Linked DNA regions of Solanum lycopersicum. The main gene of each other region encodes a partner of the protein of the gene in region 2 in a complex. Links are inferred from orthologs where the notes say so. Each region holds a gene or a part of one and is shown on either strand. Other genes may lie near its edges.

Evidence for each region. The genes of interacting proteins can lie anywhere in the genome.
Region 1: ribonuclease E (region 2) and termination factor RHON1-like protein share a complex: the UniProt entries of both Arabidopsis thaliana proteins name them as parts of the chloroplastic degradosome-like complex. The link is inferred for Solanum lycopersicum from reciprocal best matches to the Arabidopsis thaliana genes RNEE/G and RHON1.

The regions. Positions count from the first base shown.
Region 1 is NC_090808.1:61,806,800-61,810,920, reverse strand, and holds the start of termination factor RHON1-like protein, read left to right. Parts: upstream 1-1,261; 5' UTR 1,262-1,344; coding exon 1,345-1,405; intron 1,406-3,220; coding exon 3,221-4,121. UniProt on the Arabidopsis thaliana protein: Binds to and supports processing of specific plastid RNAs. Associates via its C-terminal Rho-N domain to single stranded regions of 16S and 23S rRNAs or to rbcL mRNAs. May be involved in targeting transcripts to RNases such as RNE or RNase J.
Region 2 is NC_090801.1:62,866,250-62,868,896, forward strand, and holds part of ribonuclease E, read left to right. Parts: coding exon 1-110; intron 111-201; coding exon 202-519; intron 520-651; coding exon 652-693; intron 694-1,325; coding exon 1,326-1,450; intron 1,451-1,580; coding exon 1,581-1,728; intron 1,729-2,647. UniProt on the Arabidopsis thaliana protein: Involved in intercistronic processing of primary transcripts from chloroplast operons. The endonucleolytic activity of the enzyme depends on the number of phosphates at the 5' end, is inhibited by structured RNA, and preferentially cleaves A/U-rich sequences.

The sequences.
Region 1 (4,121 bases), on a different chromosome or scaffold from region 2:
TTCAATGATTCACTTTTATTCAGGCTGAAGCCAATTGACAAAGAGAGGAATTTTCAGAAAATTATTTTGAGGGATTTCTTTTCATTTGTCTGAACCATCACTAAAGTCGCAATAAAGAGTAGATATGAATCCATAACCTTGAAAATATAATAGGTACAACGATAAGAACAATAACACTTGAACACATTTAGGGTGTGTTTGATACAAAGAAAAATATTTTTCTAAAATATGTTAACTTGAAAAATAATTTTATTTCTAACTTACTTTTTTATGTTTGGCTGATAGTTGAAAATATTTTCGAGAATATTTTTAGTGTTCGGCTGGTGAATGAAAAAAAAAATTTGAAAATATCTTTTTATTTTTGGCTAGCGAGTAGAAAATATTTTTAGGAAAATAGTTTACGACTCAAAAATCAATCTCGATGATCAATCCTGATTTGAAATGTGATCGTGAGATCTGACCTAGGACCTGTCTCAAGCTTTTTGATCTGAGATATGACATTTGAATTGGGATTCAACCGTGACACTCAAACTTAGATACAATCAATATTACAGTAGAATTGGAAAATATTTTACTTATTTTTTAAAAAAGAGTCATTTTCCTTAAATTTGAGGAAATAACTTGATTTGCAAAACGTTTTTCAAAACATTTCTTGAAGAAAGTAGCCCTTTTCAAATTTCGGCTAGGGCATTTCTTTCCTCAGCGATTCAATAGCTTTTGTAGTTTTGCCGACCCCTTCAATGAAAGCAAATTTTAGCTCCCTGGTCTTTCACATCAACTTCTACAAGTTCAACGATTTCTGGTTCACCAAGTCACAAATTGTATTGCATATGATATGAAACTCAAATTTAAGTATTTTAAAGACAATAATAGCTAGTGTTAGGAGTTAAAAAGGATGGTAATTTCACATATAATTACGTAATTAATTATTTTTCAATCATAAAAATTACTACTACATTTTGAGATACCAACTAAAAAATCACAAATTTGAAAAACGCTAAAACTTTCCAATGTTCACTCTTTTTTCCAAAAGAAATCTAATAAATAATAAGCCAATTAAAAAGCTGTGTTTCGATCCGATCAAATCCAAAATACATAAAAAAAAAAAATTGTAAGAAATGAAAACTATGAGGGGGTAAAGTGATAGATTTCAAAACCAAAACGGACCGCAATTAACTAGATTTTGAAATTTCATACTTTGCCTTTCTGACCCCAGAAAAATGGTGAATATATAAAACTTCCCCTTATCAGTGTGCAAGATATATAAAAACGTAACAAGAAGCTTAGTAGAAAGGCGAAAATCGAAAATGCGAAAGTTTGATTGAGACTGCAAAACTATTTCTTATGTTTTCTCAAATTCCAAAAATGTCAAGCGCCATTGATTTCACTCTCAAAAATCTTCCAGGTAATTTTTTTGTTCTGTTTATGTTCAATATGCAAGAGCTCCACGTTGGGTTGGGCATGAACATGCACACTAACTGTTTGAGTTAATTTCTCAAAGAGACAAAACATTAATGAAGTCTTTTCTTTTGATTGAGTGGATACAAGAATGCTTCGTTTTATCACTTTTGGTGTCCTACGGGGTGTCTACAAGGTGTTTGATGAAATGTTTCTGTTAAAAAAGAGGTCACTTTATTTAGTTTGGATCTTATTAACGGCCTAGCTATGTCGGAACACTATCTAATAAAGAGAATAACTACTGCAAACTACTCCTCTTTTCCATGTTAGGTGAATTGTTACGAATTTGTTCATAATCCAAAATAAGTGAATCCTTCAAAGTTTAAGGGAGTTGTTGAGACTACTTGATATTTTCTAAGAAAGAATAGTTTGGAAATAATCATAAGGGTAATAGTGATAACTAGTCTTTTATTTCATACATAACTAGTTGAGGTCGGCTACTTCAATTCTTTATATCCATTTTGCTCTGGTTGGATGCTTTCATTATGATGCTTAGTAGTTTGTCATTTAACAAAGAATTGAATGATGTTTATTATTGATGCTATTGATAAATAAATACATAAGCTAGAATTCCTTGAGTAATTCAGTGTCAAGATGGTTTATTTTTGGCTGCATTTGATTCGGCTAAAGTGGTGGAACTGTTTTAGAACAGTTTGAGCAGGTGGTTTCATTTGCAATGTTCTTGGAATAGTTTAAATGTGAAGGTTTTTCTAGGTGCTGTGGGGTTTTGAGGTGGCAAATATGCAGGATTATTGGTGTGTATGGCAACCTATTGGCTTTTCTTGGAGTAAAGTTTTTCTTTTTTTCAAACTCTCCAATTTCCTATTTAGTGGAACTTATATTTTGTTCCGATTCTTTTTAGTTTCCAGACCTTTCCAATTTACTTTAAGTTTCAGTAGTTCACACATCAGCTTGGTCACACGTAAGCATAAACTAAGAAAATCTCATAGATTCCCTGGTCATGCCAAGAACTCTTCCAGCCTCTTTTTCTTTCCGTGAGGTGCTAGCAGTGTCACCGATCTTGTCTTGTTCACAATGTATTTCCATAAGCCCCATTTTTCGTTGCTTTTATTCTATTTCTAGAACTCTTTGCCCCTCTCATTTTAGTGTATGATATGTGCATCGTTGGTATTGATTGACATGGTGACGTCAGGGTTATTTTCATTGCAATAGTCGTTTCTGTTATTTTTAATACTACTAATTCTTGTAGTGACAACAGTTATATCATTTTTAAAATGCAAATGCTTCTTATAGAAGCAGAATTAATGACTTTTTAACTTCTTATTTGTAGATAGCTTTAGGACATATGATACATAAAATGTTAGGCATAGGAGGGAATCTTATATAACATTGTACAGCTATCCCAAAGAGTGTTCTTGAATCGGTAAATGGAAATGCTTACTTGGAAGAAGATCTAAATAAAGTAACTTTTCTGAGATTATGCATCTTATCCCTATACAGTTGTGATCCTATTCTTTAGTCAACCTTTCACATGGAGCTCAACATATTTTTAAGCTTCAGCTGCAATGTAAGTGCATCAGTCGTGACCAACATGTTGATCATTCCGTTGACAAAGAAACAGCTATTTAGTAACATTCTCTTATGCATAAGTTCTTTTTTTTTCTTTTTGTATCTGTAAAATCGAATTTAAACACTTACATATGTGCTATTTAGAAACATTCTCTTATGCATAAGTTAATTTCTTTTTGTATCTGTAAAATCGAATTTAAACACTTACATATATGCTATTATACTATTTCAGGGTTTAAATCCCCAGAAGGCAGATGTCTTCCCTGCTCAGGACTGTCTGGAAGGACAGTCACTTCTCGTGGTGAATATCAGCAATTTTCCAAGGTCAAGATTTTAAACTTGAAATCTCCTTACAAAAGCACATCTTATATGTGTAGTGCTAGTAGCTTCAGCAATCATAAAAGAAATCCAGATTTTTCGAGGCAAAACAAGCATGGTTTCTCCAGGGGGCGGAACAGGCAAAATGAAGACAGAGATGGTTATGAAAATATAGAAGAATCAGAAATGATATCTTCAAGAAATGGGCCACTGCTTACTACATCAAACACTTCGAAATTCCAAGCTACAGCCACTCCAGGTCCAAGGGAAAAGGAGATTGTTGAGCTATTTAGAAAGGTCCAGGCTCAGCTTCGGGAAAAAGCTGCTATCAAGGAGGAGAAAAAGTCTGAAGAGTTGCAAGGAAAGGGTAAAGAGAGTGAAACTGTTGATTCCCTTCTCAAGCTTTTAAGGAAACACTCAGTTCAGAAAGGGAAGAAAACCAGTAGCAGTAGAAGTAGCAACTTTGTCCTTGACCAGCCAGATAAGAGCAATGTATTCTCTGAAGAGAGAGCTAGCAATCTCACTGAACTAAATAGCAATGTGAACCATGTGGCACAAGAAAGTGGCACCCCATTTGTTAACCGACCTAAGTCAAACTTCCAGCGTAGATCTCCAGTTCCGCGAATCAAATTTCAGCCTATTTATCACGAGGGAGGTACTGATAACCCTGTTGCCTCTTCTGCTACAGATAAGATGGAAAATGACATACATCTGGACCTTGAACTTGGGCAAATTCCCAGAAGTAAGGTTGATTCTGACACTGAGACTATTTTCTCAGATAAGCATGTGTTCGATGAGATGGCTGATGATGATAC
Region 2 (2,647 bases):
GGGTCCAGGTCCGAAAAGGCACTAAAATAATTGTGCAAGTTGTTAAAGAAGGATTGGGTACGAAGGGCCCAACACTGACTGCTTATCCGAAATTAAGGAGCAGATTCTGGGTATTACATGTTTCATGATCATGTATTCTGTGTCTTACAGCTGAAAGTCCATTATTAGAAAACCCAATCTAATTGGTTCTCCTCTTCCCAGGTTTTAGTTCCTCGCGGCAACACGATAGGTATTTCAAAGAAGATTGCTGGTGTTGAGCGCACACGTTTAAGGGTCATTGCAAAAACTTTACAGCCTCAAGGATATGGTCTTACAGTAAGGACAGTTGCAGCTGGTCATTCACTAAATGAATTGCAGAAGGACTTGGAAGGGTTGCTTTCAACTTGGAAAAGTATAATTGAGCATGCAAAGTCTGCAGCTCTTGCCGCAGATGAAGGTGTTGATGGAGCAGTTCCTGTCATGCTTCACCAGGCAATGGGCCAAACACTTTCTGTTGTTCAAGATTATTTTAGCGATAAGGTCTGCTCATTCTCGGGTCATTACTTCATAATTTGTTCAGTTCTTTATTTTTTAGGCAACTTCTGTTCATGGGCTTTCTCAAATTAGCATGAAAACACAATTTTACTTTCTTACTCTAGCACTGATTTTCAGGTGAATAGTTTGGTGGTTGATTCTCCAAGGACATATCATGAGGTATGGACTTAGCCAGTTATCAGTCAATGGAATGAAAAGATTTTTGACCTACAAGCATGATTGCATGTCTTTCTCTTGCTTTAATGTTCCTCTAGGTTGATTTTTCACATGGAAGCGGTTTTACAATAGTGAGTGGTTTTTGGTATGAAGATTTGCATATACTGGCTATGAATGAGATTATCTTGGATTAAATTAAACCCAAGTTAATGAAACATTTAAGAAGTAAAATTAGCTTGTTTAAGAATAGCGCCCAGTGTGTGCAATGATGAGTAGCACTGCAATTAGTATCTCAGTACATTACGTTCTTATGAATAGAACTGATGACATTGATTTTCGTCTTTAAACTATAAGGGCATTTGTGCTTTAAGTTACAAATATTTTCCTTTTTGACTTTAAGTGTCCTGATTCCTTTCGCTTCACACAGTTCAGCATATAGTCGCGGCATAGTGTTCCACAACTTTTGTCGTCTTGTTGTGTCCTCTTTTATTCCAACTCTGCAAAAGTTATTTTGGAGATCTGTCATACACCAAATAGTCGCGGTTTGTGTTCCACTACCTGTGGGCTAAAATTGGTTGAGGAATTTTTTTAAAATTATGGTGTACCTTAATATAGATATATTGGACTCTGTTCAGGTTACAAACTATCTTCAAGAAATGGCACCTAATCTTTGTGAAAGAGTTGAGTTGCATGGTACAAGAACTCCCCTGTTTGATGAATACAACATTGAGGAAGAAATAAACAACATTCTCAGCAAAAGGTGGAGATCACTTTGTTTCTTTCTTTTAGCTTTATGTCTTTTATGACATGTATTTTAACTTCTCGTGAGTCAAAACGTTTCATGTTTCATTGATATTCCTCCTTAATCCTTTGATTTATAAAATTTGCAGGGTTCCCCTTGATAATGGAGGTTATTTAGTGATCGAACAGACAGAGGCTTTAGTCTCCATCGATGTAAATGGTGGACATTGTGTGCTTGGTCAAGGGACTTCACAAGAGATGGCTATTCTCAATGTTAACCTTGCAGCTGCTAGACAGGTATGTAGACCTGCATCTATTTTGATTACACATTGTATTCCAAGAGCATAGTCTTTCTACACCTGGGAAAGTTGGTTATCAGAAAACAAACTAGGATATGCTTAGAAGATCCTTTTTAATGAATTAGAAGATGCTTAGCGTTTGATGGAAATACTTCAATCCAACACTAAAATATGTCTCTTGACAAGCTACACTGCTTCTCTTTTTTCCTGTGGTAGACAAGGCCTCATTTGTAGCCTAGTAGTATCTTGTCAGATCCCAGAACAGAAGAATATTCTGTTGATGCACCTTCTATGGAGAATTAATTCTTTAAAAAAAAGAAACTACACAGGGTATCATGTCCATGTTGCCGTTTTAATCTGCTATTGGTTTGGACATAGCATGTCTGAATTACGTGCTAAACCTCTATTTTTTTTTCTTGGAGGGGATAACCAAGACATCCCTGAGCGTATGTGGATAATGTGCCCGCTCTCTACCTTTCTTCAGTTAAATACCACGCTTTTGTCATAGGAAGGTTCGATCTCTTCACGTGTCTAACCCACACATCACACATTGTGCTCTTACCACTAGACAAAACCAACGGGGATAATCTGTGGTTGCTTTTATGCACCTCTATTTAAGTCGCGTTAATTTGATCCAATTTAGCAGTCAGCCTGGGCTGCAGAATTACACACATTTTTAAAGAAGGAAGGAAGCAGAAACCAATCCAAATAAGCAAGTATCCATCATTCGAATTCAAAGAAATACTGCACTTCTAGTTTCATTGGGTGTTTCTGGTTAGATTTGAACCTTTTATCTGAGAAACCGAGCTAGTTACTGAAATGTACGACAACACAGGATTACATTGGATCTTTTTTGTTGATAAAGACAACATAGTATTGCATTGGTTTTCTTTCTATATGTTAAGTTTATTATTTGC